Danio rerio: one gene and its partners. The protein of the gene in region 5 interacts with the protein of the main gene of each other region in a pairwise test. Links are inferred from orthologs where the notes say so. Each region holds a gene or a part of one and is shown on either strand. Other genes may lie near its edges. The genes, in order: alkbh4, sec22a, rfx6, eif4enif1 and dtx2.

Region 1 (2,664 bases), about 2.0 Mb from region 5:
GTCAGATTTATTAGCCCCCCTAAATTATTAGCTCCCTGTTTAATTTTTCCCCCAATTTATGTTTAACGGAGAGAAGATTTTTTTTCAACACATTTCTAAACATAATAGTTTTAATAACTCATTTCTAATAACTGATTTATTTTATCTTTGCTATGATGACAGTAAATTATATTTGACTAGATATTTTTCAAGACACTTCTATACAGCTTAAAGTGACATTAAAGGCTTAACTAGGTTAATATGGTGAACTAGGCAGGTTAGGGTAATTAGGCAAGTTATTGTATAATGATTGCAGGGGTGGACTGGCCATCTGGCAATTCTGGCAAATGCCAGAAGGGCCGGACCATTTTTTTAAATGTGGGCCGGTCAGCTATTTATTTTTTATATATATATTGTTTTTACTTGTAGCCCGTTTTTCGATGATGATAATAGTAATAATAATAATAAATGTTAAGCATTGGCCCAATCGACAATGACCGGCTGGTTTCGAGATGGGCCATCCTCATCAGAGGTTATGCGGAATGTAATCTGGCAAGAATGTCAAACAAACATTAGGTGCAACACAAGCTAATTGTTAGAGATGGACCATAAAAAAGGAAATGCAGTGCCGAAAAGCTCAGAGAAAGCAAAATAAAAAAGGCTCTAAAATCAGATGCTGCCAAATGCATAAAATGAACTGAACTATTCTCGAAAGGGGGCAGCGCAGTGGGTAGCACTGTCACCTCACCTCATAGGTTAATTGGGTTGGTTTAATTGTCAGTTGTGCATGTATGTAAATGTGTGTATAGGGGTTTTCCAGTGATGAGTTGAAGCTTGGAGGGCATCCGCTGCGTAAAACAAGTTACTAAATAAGTTAGCGGTTCATTCTGCTGTGGCAATCCCAGATTATTAAAGGGACAAAGCTGAAACGAAAATGAATGATTTCATATATAAATTTGTTTCAAATGGGTTGGGTCGCATACATAAAATGTTTAAATATCTAATACATATGGTACTGCTTATATTATTTTACTATCTGTACACCAATATATGTAGTAAATGTGCGTGTCCGTGGATGGGGCTGTGTCAGTGTAGTAATGTGGGCTGGTGTGGCTACAGTGCCAGGGCTGATTTAAAGTCCCAGTCCGCCCCTAAACGATGGTTTACTCTGCAGACGATCAGAAAAAAAAGCTTAAAGGGGCTAATAATTTTGTCCCTAAAATGGTATTTAAAAAGTTAAAAACTGCTTTTATTCTAGCCGAAAAAAAAACAAAACAAATAAGACTTTCTCCAGAAGAAAAAATATTTCTGAAGTATATAAGTCCTGAAGAAACTGAAGTATGGGGTGACGTGAACAAAATCATTGATCCATTTAGGTGGAAGTGACAAACTGCAGGCTTTGGATGCTTATATCAGTTTAATATCTTCTAAACCTGGGTTTTATCACGGTTTTGGAGCACACTAGCTTATAGATATTCTTAAAACTAACATACTGATACTAAAAACTAGAAAACCTTTATTTTAATTTCATGAGACATCTGTCTATCCAAAGGACTTTGGGCCAAAGGTGAACTTCAAGAAGCGCCGTGTCCATGTGGGAAGCTTCAGCGGCCTGCCTGCTATCAGTCGTCGGCTGCTGGTCCGGATGTCAGATTTACCCCAGTTATCTTCGTTCAAACCAGTGGAGCAGTGCAACCTGGACTATGATTCTCTCAGAGGCTCCGCCATCGACCCACACTTAGACGACAGCTGGCTGTGGGGAGAAAACCTGGTCACCGTTAACCTGCTCTCGGACACCGTTCTGACCTTGAGCTTGGATCAGGGCTGGGGAGACATGGAGCAGGGCGAGGTGAGGGTGGCTGTGCGTCTTCCCCGCAGGTCTCTGGTTGTGCTCTACGGAGATGCACGGCACCGGTGGAAACATGCCATCCACAGAAAAGACATTCACGGCCGCAGAGTGTGCAGCACCTTTCGGGAGCTCTCGGCTGAGTTTCTCCCCGGAGGACAGCAGGAGAAACTGGGCTCAGAGTTGTTGGATATAGCGCTGAGCTTCCAGGGTGCTCCTCTATAAGACAGCTCCACTTAGATGCATGTTTGTTTGTTTGTTCAATTGCACAAATGTAAAGTGATTGTTTTAATTGTTAATTTAAATAAATGCTTTTTATCAGTCTGTTCATCATGTTGTTTGTTTTCACCAGATGGCTTGTATAGCTCTATTTCAAAAGAAATAATCCATCTAGATTGATTGTCGTGGTTTTGTAAGGGTGTGAATCGTGCATAAAAATCATACACAAATTGCAAGCAAATTTACTTACAAATATACATATATATATAAAGCCATGAAATAGTATGAGGTGCCGTATAGGATTTAAATCAAACTTTGCTTATCAACACATACATAAAACACATGTATATACACCTATAAATTACTCGCATATACACCTATACTACTGGATGTTCAAAACAACATGGATGAAACTTGTGTATATACATATAAACTTGACGCATGAATACACCCACATACACACGCACATACATATAAACTCGATCCTCACATAAACACTCACATTAACACACGCACATACATATAAACTTGCTGCATGCAAACACACCTATACACACTTGCATATACATATAAACTCGATTCTCGCATAAATACCCACATTTACATGCACATACATATAA
Region 2 (3,522 bases), on a different chromosome or scaffold from region 5:
GCATCGTGTTCCCTACCTATGCCTTTATATTTAGACTCCTTGTGTTGTGAGAAGCCGTTGATTGATCCAATGTCCTCCGCCGAGAGCTGATAAGGAGGCCGGAGCTTGATCTCGGTCTGCATGTCGGCCAGATTAATCTTGGTAGAGAGCGAACGTGGGCTGTTGTAACGCAGCTTGGTTTTCCGAATGAAGTTATCTGTCAAAAACCATAGAAACGGCACACTAAATCAAAGCTGGGCATCACAACGTGGGTCTGTATGTTACAAATTGCTTCAATGCATTTCATACCAAGTTAAATGGAGGTTCTGCATTCGAAGTAGTTCTTTAGATAAATCCAATGATCCCTAGCCAAATAAGGCTCGTAAATGACTACATTTAAATGTTCCACAAAAGATGCAAATCTATTAATGTTTACTCAAACTCATCATGCTTTTTAGAGATCGACTAATGCTCAAGGTTGGTGAAACTGTTCGTGTGGAACTAATATAAGTGGAACTAATTAGAGCAAATACTTTTCAGTGCCAAGTGAAAGGGTCTGTATTGGATGTGATCAAATAATTAACACCAGACTAATGGCAAGAAAGTGTGTTGAGCTTTCCTGAATCTTACAGCGAGAAACATTTCATTCTGCCAAACTCAGGAGGTAATGGTTTCAATCAGATTAACGAATAACCATCAAGGCTGTTTTGCATTAGACATGCACACATTTATCATATCAAACAAATACATTCAGGCAGATGATGCCGAAGGGCTAGTTATTTTAGATACTTTTTATTTAAGTAAATTAAACCACATAACTTAAGTCAATTGTTTAAAATAACCAATTATGTATGCTTTTTGATTTTGTACACCTCCTGACAGAAATGAAGACAAGGTGGCCTAGTTTCACAGAGCTTAGACTAAGCTAGGATTAGGCCATATTTCACTTAGGACATTTTTTTGCCATAAAAGAATTACAGGTGTCCAAAATTGAGACGACAAACACGCTGATATTTTAAGATCAGTTCAAGAGTTCACACTTAGCTGATGATTGATTATAAAGCTTGTTTGGCATGCTGTCCCAGGAGAGAGCCCTAAGCTCATAAGATCCTCGAGCCCTGGGCCCCCTCCCATTTGCAAGGCGAGAGGGGAATTTGAGCTCAGGTAGAACTCCCCTGATGTAGTAACTAATGACCAGATAGTGATTGCTCTTAAGAGATAACTACTTCAAAACGAAGATGTCTGTCATATAGAACTTATGGTATTTATAGTGGTTTAGGAATCGTCTGATTGGTGAATCATGAATTGAATAATGCAGGGCCGCATTATAAGCACGTGATCCTCTCAAAATTAGTTTATAAATACACTTCATTTAGTGCAAGTTTCTTTTTTTTCAGGTTAAACTGCTCAGACTCAGCGGTTTCAGAAATGATGATAACAATAAAAAGTTATACACTATATAATATACTGTCTATACATCACACAACTGATATATACTGCTTACATTGTCAATCAAAAGTTTGGAGTGAACAAGTTTTGTTTTGAAGACATTAAAGGGCCCCTATTTTACCCCTTTTTCAAGATTTAGATAAGTCTTTTGTGTCTCCAGAAAGTGTCTGTAAAGTTTCAGCTCAAAACACCCATCAAATTATTTATTATACCTTTTAGAATATTAGAATTTTCTGCTTTCAACACAATGTAGCTGTATTTGTGGCCTGACCCTTTAATGCTAGTTCTCCCCACCCACTGTTCCCACGTGCCTGTTATGTCTGTTATGTTAATGTACAAAATAAACCTAATTTAACGTCCACAAACCGGGATTTATAACTGTTTTGACACGCGGCTGTGAGGATAATGTCGCTGTAATTCATTATAAACATGCACTGCTTTAAAAATTTTTTAAACCTGTAAAAACTCATTCTTGATCACATTTTATGATGATAGATGATCACAGTGAGCTGAACAGATAATTTAATCCCAGTTGCTTTGTGCACATCCTGTCTTGTTGATATGATTATACACGTTACTACGAAGACATGTTAATACACGGCCGTCAACCAAATTAGTGGGTAGGAAAACTGCACTCCTTTGTCACGTTGCGGTGGGCCTCAAAACAGGAGGAATTTGGATCTTATTTTAACATCAGGCAATTTTTTAAAAAGAGATATGTTGAGTTTCTATCACTCCAGTATGACTGTGGACACACTATACCTACACACAGTGAGGTACACACACACATTTTCATCATAGGTGCCCTTTAACACTTTAATCAGCTACAAAATTTAATATTTAAAAAATAAATAATTCATTAAATGTTCTGATGCCTTTTTTTTACTAATATACAAATAAATAAATATCTAAATATGAAATATGATCTAATAATAATGTTAACTTAATATCTAATATTAATGTTCAATAGTTTTATGACCTAATTGTTTTTAAAGATTTTTTATTTACATAATAATAATAATAATAATATTAGTTTTTAGTTTTGTTTTGGTAAATGATAGATTAAAGCTTGGTAGAAAACTGCAGATAACACTGTTATCATGAGCTACTCAGATCAAAATGTGACAATGAAACATGCAAAGCAATTAGCATGAATATTTATATAAATACACAACACAGGCTGTGTGGTTTTAAAACTGTACTGACAATATTGGGTTTCCAATCTTTGTTGTTATCATTCAATTCAATTAGTTAAATTTTTCATTTACAACACAGAATGTTTCTCATGTAAGTACGTTTTAGGTCCTAAATAAACAAAAAAAATATGATCCCCCTTTGCAAAAACAGATGCCTTGTTAGAAACCTGTCCTGACCCCCTTAAGAAACTCACCAAACTCAATGAAAGAGAAAGGCCTCAAAGCACTGTTGATCCGCTTGGTGTCATACGTGACTATGAACTCTCTCTGAAGCTCATCTAAGAAGCTGAAGGCCAGGACATTGGGATAGTTCTCTGTGCAAACCATCAAGTACCCAACTCCGAGAGAGCTTGTGAAGCTGTGGAAAACAAGACATGTCACAGTTTACATCATACTTCTACAGTCAATTTTCATTTAGTATTCAATATAGAAGATGAATAAGTTGACACACTGACAGCTCTGGGAAGCAAAACATGTAAAAACATGACATCTGTCATTCCCAGACAGGACGGGCAAGGTCAAGAAAGTCCATTCCAATGACCTTCGCATTCAAATAACCATTGTGTATAAAAATCCCCCATCACCCTCTGTTTTACACCTGCTTTGAATCTGAACAGTTTAGTAACTCGCCCTCAGGAAAGAAGAAACTTTGTCAGTGTGTCTCTCCATGTTAACGTCTATTTGAGAGATGAAACGATCCACTGAGTCAGTCCAGAGAGAGATCGGACTTGTTTCTGCCTGCTTGTGAAGTGTGGACTGATGAATAGCAGCCAGGCTATGAAATGGTCACCCCTGGGTCCGTCAGTGTAATGCATCTGAATTAGACCTTGCTGAAGGGGAACTTTTAATTTTGCATCAGAACAGTTGGCAACCAGTGCACAGCACCCCACTGTGATTT
Region 3 (2,860 bases), on a different chromosome or scaffold from region 5:
GTGCCTTTTATAAATCATGGTAAATATGAGTTGTTAGTGTTGTTGCAAAAAAATAGTTTTTCTTCCAGTTATTGTCTTGTTTCTAGTCCAAATATCTAAAAACTCTTAAATCAAGAAGCATTTTCTAGACAAGTAAAATAAATGTTGTTTTAGGAATATATACCTGGAGGGTAAATAAACTTGTTGTCAGTTTAAAGATTATTTTACTTACACCAAAGGCAGAAAATGTATCTTGTTTTAAGAAAAAGCTCACTTAATTTTGACTTATTATTTCTGAAAACAAAACAATATTTTTATTTGTCTAGTAAATGCTTTTGATTGAATATTTTTTAAATATTTGGACAAGAAACAAGACAAAAACTTCAAGAAAAGCAGTATTTTGTTTCAACAAAATGCGTCAACATGCCTTGACCTGATTACAATAAACACCTTATAATGATTGTTTCATTAACTGAATATTTATGAATATTTATCAGGGGTCGCCACAGTGCAATGAACCGCCAACTATTTCAGCATTTGTTTTAACACCCATACACTCTCATATTCACACACACACACATACACTATGGCCAATTTTGTTTACGCAATTCACCCATATCGCGTCTCTGGACTGTGGGGGAAGCCGGAGCACCCGGAGGACACCCACACCAACATGGGGAGAACATGCAAACTCCACACAGAAATGCCAACTGACCCAGCCAGGACTTGAACCAGTGACCTTCTTGCTGTGAGGCGACAGTGCTAACCACTGAGCTACCGTGCCCCCTACCTTATAATAATAATAATAAAAATAATAATACGTTTTTATTTGTATTACCCCCTTTCCTACATCACATGCAACTCAGCGTGCTTCACAAGCATAAACAAATATTAAAAACAACATTAATGTCAGGGAAATTATAGAAACAGATAAACAAATTCAGAAAAAAGTTTAAATTGGAACCAATTCTCGTTATCCCATAATTGACTGTGTAACTACCTGCAGGCTCCCCTAGAAGGATTGTTTTGCCCTGACCTGCTGTGTGTGTGCCCATTGCGGACAGTTCGGTGTAGTAAGGTCTTGTCTTCCTGCTGGTGTCGTCCAGGATGTTTAGAGGGTCGTGTGCTTCAGCGTAGGCCGAAACTGAGCGAATGCTGCTCACGCTGCTGATAACCGACACATGCTGATCGATAAATGTGCCCATCCTCGGAGCATCCACATAACCACTGCTGCTGCCGTAATATCCTGGACAGAAGAAAGATGAATGTTAAAGTTTCAATAGGAGCATCTGCAAACTAGTTTGAACCTTCTGTGCAGCATATTGATTTAATTAAAAGAGATAATAAATTTGGTACTTTTTCTTTGCATAGAAACATTACACTGTATTACACCAGCATTACACTGGTTGCCTGTGCACCAAAGGATAAATTTTAAGATTCTTTTATTAGTTTATAAAGCACTACACAACATGACACCTTCCTACATTTTCGACTGTTTAACAAAATATAATCCAAACCGTTTGCTACGCTCTTCTAGTGCTGGACTTTAAGAATTTTATCCTGTAAACCTGATGCGATCTGGCGGCACTTCTTTTAGCCATTATGCTCCAAAAATTTGGAACTGTCTCCCCCTTGAAGTGAAAGAATCCCCAAGTATTCATGTTTTTAAAAAGCGTGTTAAGACACATCTTTTTAAAATTGCGTATGATTAAACAAGTTTGTTAGGTGTACGCATTTTATCTATTTTGTTGTAGGTTTATGTATGTAATGTATGGTGTGTGCCTGCATATGTAAGGACTATTGTGTGTGTAATCATGTGGATATATACTTATATTTTGTGTACATGAATGCTTTTATTTCAGTATATGTGATAGGTTTTGTGGTCTATTTTAATGCTTTTGTTGTTGTTTGTGAGGCACTTTGAGTTGCATGTATGTTGGAAAAGTGCTACACAAATAAAGTTTATTATTATTATTATTATTATTAAAGACCAGTACATCTATTCTAACTGTTTTGCTAAAGTCTGAATGTGTTTGCGAAAATTCTGCTTAAGTTCAAACTGAGTTGTCCGGAAAGATAATTTGCCAGCAAGCATTTTTGTGTGTGTTTAAAGGAACACTAAATTTTTTTAAATAAATTAGGCTCATTTTGCAAGTCCCCTGGGTAAAAAGTTGAGTTTTATCATTTTTTTGGAATTCATTTAGCCGATCTTAGCTTAGCATAGATTTTTTAATCGGATTAGACCATTAGCATTTTACTGTAAAAATAATTTTGCCGTCAGAGTCTTTAATCAAATATCATGACTTTCTCTCTCCCTTGAAACAACTTTTCTTCACTTTAAATCACAATTTATGCTGTCGGGACTCTGGAGAGGATATCAGTGGTTGTCTTGTTCTGCTCTGAATTTGACCATTTGTTAATCTTTCTTTTTGTTAGCAACGTCTAAAATTATGCACCAACCTCCTTTCAGGACGGTTTCAATCGGATGTACATCACAGTAGAGGAAAATCTTAACTTCCAACTTTAATGCAAATATATAATCAGCCAATCACAGGACAGCAGCGGTGTATTTATGCTTGTAGAGATGATCTGCTTAAGTTCAAACTGAGTTGTCAGGAAAGATGACTTGCCAGTAAGCATTTTTGTGTGTGTGTTTAAAGGAACACTCTTCATTTATTTTTACAAATTAGGCTCGCTTTGCCCCCTGGTTAAAAAGTAGAGGTTTTTTTTAATTAGTTCAGATGATCTTCAGTCAAAAGCTAAGCCCTTTTAACTTAGCTTACCATAGATCATTGAATCGGATTAGACCATTAGCATTTCGCTGTAAAAATAATTTTGCCCTCATAGTCTTTAATCAAATATCATTACTTTTCTTCACTTT
Region 4 (4,060 bases), on a different chromosome or scaffold from region 5:
TGAAAAATTTGTGACTATTTTCAATTTCATGAGGTTCTTTTTACAGCAGCGATGTTGTAATGCTTTAATCTATTTACCTGATTATATTTGAAATGCATCCATTTGGTTATAAAACCATAAAAAGAGAGGCTGACATAAATGTAAAGTCTATGTGCATATACCCCATTCACTCCAAAAAAACAATATACGGTTTATTTATTCATCCTTAGGCCATTCAATATGAAGGGGACTTTTTCACCAGTAGAACATTAAAATATATTTTTAGTATTTAGTGATATTTCTATTAGGGATGCTCCAATCAATTGGTTGGAGATCCGAATCGGCCGATAATTACAATTCAAGACTTGTTTTTTTTTTTCTTTGTAAAGTTGCTTCTGAACGCTGCATGTATGCAAAATCCTTAATTTATTATCTTAGGTAAGGAGTTATACTCATACTTGAAGGGTAATTGTGCTTATGCAATGGTTAAGTTATATAAAGCTTAAAGAATTTGTATTTGTAATCTATACAAGTTGATCATTATTCTGGTTCTGATATCATGTTTTTTTTTTTTTACCTCTCAAATTATCATAAGCTGCTAACATGCATTTTATTTATCACCAGGGACAACAGTTCCAGGTAGGCCTGTGCAATTAATCAAAATTGAATCGCAATTTGAAAAGTTACAATTAGCTAAATCGCAAGAGGCAGTGATAGGGAATATATGCATTCATTTAATTTCCCCCACCCAGAGAAAATGTGTGACTGCCATCTGTGTATGAAAGTCTTACTAGCCAATCGAGAGAGCATGCTTTCATTCTGCCCAATCAGAACCTTTCAATCCGTCTTATATCTGTCGTGTTAGTATGCTGAGTGTTCTGTATTTTTAGAATTATAAAATTTTATATTTTTTTAAACATTTGTTTAAGATACATTATTTCCCTAATCTGAGTTGAACTTGTTTACAAAAAGGTAAGGTAATTTTATTTGTGCTTACTGTTTGCTCTAGAGCAGAGTTGACCAAAGTTGGCCCCGCGGGCCAAAGTTGGCCCATTGTAACCTTTGATTTGGCCTATCATCCCATCTGAGAGGAGAGCAAGTATGTTGAAGAGGGTTGGTGTGAACGTCTTACGGTTTTAGAGAGCGTCATTTTTTATTTGATGTAACCTTTTTTTTGGTTTGTTATATTGCTGAGCAAAAAAAAAAGCAAACAGAAATGAAATGTTTCAATTAAATGCAAATTAATCAGAATGAAAAAAATAAATGTAAATACTGTCACTCAACGGATAAAGGACTATGTAGAAGACATAGGCAGGAAAATCTAGGCATAAACTAGTGTAAATTTGTTATACATTGTTTTGTTTTTACTGTAATAAATTTTTTTTTTTAAATGCTGTATTAGTTAATTGAAAGCAATGTTTTCTAGTCAGTTTTAAGCATTATTAAATGAAATAGAAAATTACCCGTGGTAAATAACCCTATGGGCAGCACAGTGGGTAGCACAATCGTCTACCCACACAGCAAGGTCACTGGTTTGAGCCCCGGCTGGGTCAGTTGGCATTTCTGTGTGGAGTTTGCATGTTCTCCCTGTGTTTGCATGGGTTTCATCTGGGTGCTCCGGTTTCCCCAACATGTCCAAAGACTTATGGTACAGGTGAATTGGGTAAACATACGCTGGATAAGTTGGCGGTTCATTACACTGTGGCGACTCCAAATTAATAAAGGGAATAAGTCAAAAAGAAAATTGATGAAATTACCCCACCTATATTTGCCTTCGACCCATTCGCCTCAATCAACTTTGATTTTTGGCCGTTCATAAGAATAATGTTTAGGCACCCCTACTCTAGAAAAAAATGAGTTTAATTACTGAATATTTAAAAACTAATTTGAATAAATGTTGGAGTAAGTTAATAACTATCGAGTTCTTTATCTAACACACTGCATTTTAGCAGTAAGGAGCTTTGATGCAGATTGAGCTTAAGCTTGACTACAAAATTAAAATCTCAAATTAAATCACAATATATCAAAACAATTGCAATTGGATATTTTCCTCAAAATCGCACAGCTCTAGATACAGGTACATTACAATTTAAAAAATAAAAAATAAAACTTACAATAAGAAAAAAACAGTTCAACAACAAATAAATCTCCTACATTTTAATGACATTAAAAGCAAATTAACATTTCTGACTGAACTATCCTCTTTATAACAACCAAGTTATCTAGATTAAAACCAGTGAGTAACTGAGCGTGATTATACAAACAAGCATCTTAGCAAGTATAAAAACTCCTCAGTCAGCGAAGACTTCAAATAAAATTGAACTTGAATCCATTAAGACGGATATAAGGTGTAGCGATTTAATATGATGTAAATGTCTGGCTCGTGTGTAATATGAGAAGCTGCTGTATTAGCAAATGACGAGGCAGACTGCAAACAAACTGCAAAAAGCCTAACCAGCCAGATGCTAAAGCACGAATCTAAACTTTCAATCTATGAATAACTAAAATATTCTAAAAAATAAGTGTTGGTCAGCACATTTATCAACTCACCTGATATTTGAAACGGTGTCACAGCACCTTCTCTGTCCCCGCCGGGTTACCTCAGTTAGCTAGCTTCTGGCTACCTGTCTTATACCAAACTACAAGAAATGCCGGAGTCAGTCCAGAATTCAGAAAGGACGCGGATGAAGTTTCCTGCATAAAAATAAAGTTTCTCTATCGACGGTGTTGAAGGGGGTTCAGATATCGCTTGTCACTCCAGGTGGAATCGTTAATTGACAGAGAGGAGCATCTCATTAGCAAACTGGCTACACTTATCAAGCCGACGCCGAGGATTTATTTAGGTTCTTACAGACGAACGACTATTTGTCCAGACTTTAATTGTACCTTTGGTTTATTTCTCCTTTGGGTTTTTTCGTGGGAGCGATAAACATGGAAAAACGCCGTGTTTGTTTGTTTATTTATAGGCTAGTGAGCCAGGTTAGCGGGCTAGGAAACTTATCCACACTCATAAATCTGAACAGCGCAGGTCTAAAGCGCGCTAGTAAATTAAAGCTCACGTATATTAGGAATAAATCGGGCGGAAATTTTGGTTCGACGACTTAATTAAAGCTTGTATTCCGGCTTCTACCATCAATGTACCTCGGGGTACTTTCTCAGAGCTCTCTCTTTCGTCTCTGTTCAGTCGCAGAGCGGCGAATTTCTTCAGATCTCTGACTGGTTCTGAGAAAGGCCCCAATCAAGGATTATATAGCTTCTAATCACGCCTTCTCTAAAGTTTTACGAAACTAGGTCTTATTTTTGATGAAGATTTCAAATGTTACAATACAGAATGTGAAATTATGAGGTTAGAAGTGTGTATTTTATACAACGCTGTTTACAAGAGGCGTTAAAGAATTTTGAACACGAATATGTTTCAGGCATTCAACGCGGCCACCCTTTATAAATTGTAGTCACGTGACAGGATCTAACACGCTCAGTTAAGTTTTTTTTATTCAGGTTGAGTTTGTTTTTGTTGGTTGGTTTACAGGATTTTGAGCAAAACTAAGAGCTTTTTATGAAGAGATTATATTTAGTTAAAAGCGTTTTATACATGTTCAAAGGCATGACGTTTTATACATGTTCAAAGGCATAAGTAAAATATCAATTGCTCTTTATAAAGTCTGCATCGATAATAGGAATAATAGTAATGCTATTAATATTAATAACACATTATTTTGAAATAAAATTATTACATTTTAAAAAGTAAAATTGTATTTTTACATCATACAACAGAATTTTTAAACATACGTTTAATAATTTAACCTACATTTTTAAACTGTTATTTTTAATGAGGCCTTTGAAAAAACTTTTATTTTGACATTGTTTACCGGAAGAATGTTCTTTTAACTCAGAAGAGCGGCAGTTATGTTTTGTTGTTGATACTAGTTGTCAGAATGATGACACCTATTTACCGAGCTACAACATGTCTTAGCCGTTAAGTGAAAACTTAAATGACTTTATCTTTACTTTAATTATAGTTCAGGTTACGTTACCTGCAGGAAGATTGCGCGGCGATGGACTAAAGGTTATGTGTCTAAAG
Region 5 (4,052 bases):
ATAAAGCCTATGTGTCATACTGCAGCACACTACACTGCTTTTCCCAGCAGCTTTGATGACCTGTTATCAAGGATAAAGCATAAATACCATACATTTAGAGCAAGTGAATTAATCAGTTTCAGCCAAGATTCACACAGGGCTTCTTTCACTCTGTGGATTTTACAGACTCTTCCTTGACAACACATTTACTTAATCCAAATGAGCAAAAAGCACATTTCCCTAACACTCTCTTAAAGTGCTGTGGCAGTACTAGACAGTAATAACTTCACATATCGTAGTATAACAGTCCAAGACAAGTAAAAATGTATATATTAATATAATTTAATGTTACATTCAAAAAATATTTTGTTTTGCTCGTTTAACTACTTATTTAAAATGAGCTGAAACAACATAATTCTTGAGAGTTCATTCGGACAACTTAATTTTTTTTATGTTCGATCCACATTAATTTGTTAAAAGTGTTAAATTAATTAATCGATTTGTGTTGGAACAACATGACTGAATTATGTGGAACCCGGCATTTTTTACAGTGTATGAAAGAGGTCTCTCTCTACTGCAAAGTTTAAATTATTTTTCTTTGTTTACATTATTAAAAAGTCATTTTTTTATGCAACACCTTGCAAAGCAATTCTGTTTAATAGATGCATAATAGATGTCTAATAGATCCATCTTGGCTAAATAGGCTGTCAGTGAACATCTAATAGACGTCTAAGAACAGCCCAAAACTAGACTAGTGCTCAAATACACCGATTAGACAGACTCCACACGTGTGCAGTCATTCATTCCTGTGGTTTTGATAACTAGTTTAGGGCCATTCTTAGAGGTCTATTAGATTTTCACTGACAAACCACGTTTGGCAATGTTTTATCTAGCCTTAGATGTCTATTAGACATCTATTAGATCTCATTTTAAACAAAAAGAAAATGCTTGCCATACGTAAAACATGGATATTCACTTTCACACAATTGTTTTGTAATTCATCACCTGAAGTGATGCTTTCATTTGCCTAAAATATTATAAAATATGTTGATTAAAGGGATCGTTCACCCAAAAATGAAAACTAAAATTATAAAACACTATTTGATTAATCTATATATTCGATTAGTCATCAAATATGCAGATTAAACAGATCATTAGTCATTCATTTCTGTTTATTTGATGACTAGTCGAATGTTGGCCGATTCTTAAATGTCTATTAGATTTTCACTGACAGGCCAAATTTAGCCTTGTTTTAGCTATCCACATTTCCTGCTGGGTTTCGTGTAATTTCAGGTGTTTCATTTTTAAGTTGTCGACTTTTACTGCAGTTTGGTACTTTCACTTTCATTCTGGAACATTTCATGCATGCGCCCCATGACAAATAAGAAATTGCATGCGAGTATGAACTGCTAGAAGAGTGTTGTTTTAATGTAATATGATGAGGGAAAATAAACCTCCGCATTTTGTGATGCAGGTGTCTGTGGTCCTTCATTGACTCGAGAGATGCAAAGAATAGTGTTTGTACAGCCATATAGACTATCCTGTCGCAAATTTCACTGAAAGTCCTACATGTTTATATATCTGTACTACATTTCAATAATGCGACTAAATGTCTTAATTTGATTTCTGTTTAGTAAGATTAAGACCTTAATCAAATTAAATTAATCATAAATCTCTGTTTACATGGTAGACAATGCTTTATCAGAGCATTATTGGTGTCCATATTAACACACTGAAGAATTTATTATATTCATTTAGCCTCACATTTACTGTTCCAAGATATTTTAAACGTTTCTTAAAGTAAAATATATTCTGTTTGATGGGAATAGTTTGTTAGACATTTAAAATAAAACTGTTTTATAGCATTAACATTAATCACAATACGGCGATATTTGTGTGCAAGGTTTTCATACCATCCGAATCTTATACAGGCCCATGTACAGCTACAAGTTTCATAGTACTTTTTTGCTGTTATTCATCAGTTTGATGTGTTGAGTACAGACTCACCAGTGTCCTGTCTGAACTGTTTGAGGTTGGGGATGTCGATGATGTAGGAGGACAGGCTGGGGTCTGCCTGAGCCAGACAGATGCTGCTCCCGGCGACCGCTGCCCCTCTCTGGTGCTGGAGGCACTGCTCGATGTAGCTGCTCACCTGTCCGGTGTAGGGCCTCCAGAAGCCCAGATCATCCTGCCATTCCCAAACCACCGCCATCGGCTGAGCTTGTCCGGGCACCCCAGACGAGGTGACAGACGAAGTCGACGGCGAAGCGAAAGACGGTCCGTTTCTAGTTCCACTCCCTCCGGAAGGGAAACTGGAGCCTGTTGCCATTGTGTCTGCTAAGAAATGACCCCAACCGATCCTAAAATAAGCCGGAGTTAAGCAGTGGGGCTGCCTGGCCCAGCTAACAACAACACCACCACCCTTTCAGTTTCACTCGTTTTCCACCCAGCTAACCCGCAGTATCCTATAAGAGATCGCTCGATGTCGTTAAAACTGTGTTTAATTCAGGAGTGAACATTTATTTATCCGCAGATTTGAAGGTAATCCCACTGATGTCGCATCTTCTTTGCTCGGCTGCTGGAGTCGCAGCTTCAGACTAGCCGCGTCTCGCTCTTCTCTTCGCCATTCAGTGCGATGCTGCTCGGCTACCGGGCTCATTAATCGGATTCATGTAAAATAACAGTTTCTGTTAGGTCGGCAGGCGGCTAATGCTGCATGGTCGTGATTTAAAACTCGCCGCTCGGCATGGTTTTTAAAAGTACGCAGTGGTTTGTGACACACTTCCTCTGCTGCGGTGTGTGTTTGTGTCGCTGCTGGTGGATTCCCATAGATACACACTGTGAAGGCAGACACAAACAGCACCCGTCTTGTTGTCGGTATGTTTACATTTTAAATTGTTCAAATATAAAAGCAATGTCGATTTTTTTAAATGACTACTGTCTATTCTTTGTTTATGCTTTGCTATGGTTAACTTCAAAATTTGAATGCTTATCTTTATATTGCGTACGTTGTCAACGGCAGATGGCTTTTATTTTAAAAGCGTAATACACTGACTAATAACAAAATAAAAGTCACGCTGCGTTTTTCTTTGTAGATGACGTTCATAAGTGATTTATTGTGTTACAACCACTGATCTATAATAGAGAAATAATGTTTCTATAAATACATTTTAAATATGGTATTTGTGGTTAAACACAAGAATCCCACTTAAATATCTGTAATACACGAGTTCTCAATTGTACCAAAATATTAGTCAGAATTAATTAATGTGTAATTAAATGTAATTAATGTGTAATAAAACTTTTGTCATGTAAGATCTGAATCCTGAAACTTTAATAGAATTTGTAATTGTGTCAATGGTAATTGTATTGGTTGTAATGGAAACTGCAAATGTTTCCTGTGAGTCTCTTGTTGCCTGTATGCTTTGTTTTTGTGGTATGTTAAAACTAATAAATCTTATTGTAATACGTTTTTTTGCATTACACTGGAAACCATAACAATTTTCATTACAATAGCCTGTGGTTTACAACGTGTTAATTGTAACCTACCACTGTAAATGAAAACTGTAAAGATGAAAATGTGTGATCCTGTCTTCAATCCAGTAGGTGGTGCTAATGCTATCCTGATGTGTCAGGAAAATAATCTCCATTCATCTAAACTCAATCTGAAGTTGTTTCTAAATAACTTTAAAATAATTCTCAGTATACGCGTAAAGCTTCAGTGCATAATTACACACACACGCACACGTTTATGAGGACATTACATGGTCGTAATGTATTATATACTGTAAAAAAAACGATTATTATACACCCTACCCCTAAACCCAACTTCAAATGAAACATGACAAACTTTGTAATGTCAAAAGACCCTGTTAAGTATGACTTTAACCGTTTTGATTTACAAGGACACGTGTAATGTCCTCATTAACCACCACAACATTGTAATGCCTAGGTCATACAAAATTTTGTCCTCATAAACCACCAAAAACCAGCGCACACACACACACACACACACACACTCACTTTAATAAAAATATACTTTTAGTTTAGTATAGCTCTTAGATGACTGTGGT

Evidence for each region.
Region 1: the proteins of dtx2 (region 5) and alkbh4 interact in binary tests that used the Homo sapiens proteins (3 or more experiments, as listed by UniProt). The two-hybrid records come from large-scale screens. The link is inferred for Danio rerio from reciprocal best matches to the Homo sapiens genes DTX2 and ALKBH4.
Region 2: the proteins of dtx2 (region 5) and sec22a interact in binary tests that used the Homo sapiens proteins (3 or more experiments, as listed by UniProt). The two-hybrid records come from large-scale screens. The link is inferred for Danio rerio from reciprocal best matches to the Homo sapiens genes DTX2 and SEC22A.
Region 3: the proteins of dtx2 (region 5) and rfx6 interact in binary tests that used the Homo sapiens proteins (3 or more experiments, as listed by UniProt). The two-hybrid records come from large-scale screens. The link is inferred for Danio rerio from reciprocal best matches to the Homo sapiens genes DTX2 and RFX6.
Region 4: the proteins of dtx2 (region 5) and eif4enif1 interact in binary tests that used the Homo sapiens proteins (3 or more experiments, as listed by UniProt). The two-hybrid records come from large-scale screens. The link is inferred for Danio rerio from reciprocal best matches to the Homo sapiens genes DTX2 and EIF4ENIF1.

What each region holds. Positions count from the first base shown.
Region 1 is NC_133180.1:67,366,390-67,369,053, forward strand, and holds the end of alkbh4 (alpha-ketoglutarate-dependent dioxygenase alkB homolog 4), read left to right. Parts: intron 1-1,531; coding exon 1,532-2,050; 3' UTR 2,051-2,153; downstream 2,154-2,664. UniProt on the Homo sapiens protein: Dioxygenase that mediates demethylation of actin monomethylated at 'Lys-84' (K84me1), thereby acting as a regulator of actomyosin-processes.
Region 2 is NC_133184.1:39,565,242-39,568,763, reverse strand, and holds part of sec22a (vesicle-trafficking protein SEC22a), read right to left. Parts: intron 2,983-3,522; coding exon 2,819-2,982; intron 197-2,818; coding exon 17-196; intron 1-16. UniProt on the Homo sapiens protein: May be involved in vesicle transport between the ER and the Golgi complex.
Region 3 is NC_133195.1:45,805,846-45,808,705, forward strand, and holds part of rfx6 (DNA-binding protein RFX6), read right to left. Parts: intron 1,226-2,860; coding exon 866-1,225; intron 413-865; coding exon 407-412; intron 1-406. UniProt on the Homo sapiens protein: Transcription factor required to direct islet cell differentiation during endocrine pancreas development. Specifically required for the differentiation of 4 of the 5 islet cell types and for the production of insulin.
Region 4 is NC_133181.1:43,478,336-43,482,395, reverse strand, and holds the start of eif4enif1 (eukaryotic translation initiation factor 4E transporter), read right to left. Parts: upstream 2,821-4,060; 5' UTR 2,530-2,820; intron 1-2,529. UniProt on the Homo sapiens protein: EIF4E-binding protein that regulates translation and stability of mRNAs in processing bodies (P-bodies). Plays a key role in P-bodies to coordinate the storage of translationally inactive mRNAs in the cytoplasm and prevent their degradation.
Region 5 is NC_133180.1:65,408,692-65,412,743, reverse strand, and holds the start of dtx2 (probable E3 ubiquitin-protein ligase DTX2), read right to left. Parts: upstream 2,822-4,052; 5' UTR 2,309-2,821; coding exon 1,987-2,308; intron 1-1,986. UniProt on the Homo sapiens protein: Regulator of Notch signaling, a signaling pathway involved in cell-cell communications that regulates a broad spectrum of cell-fate determinations.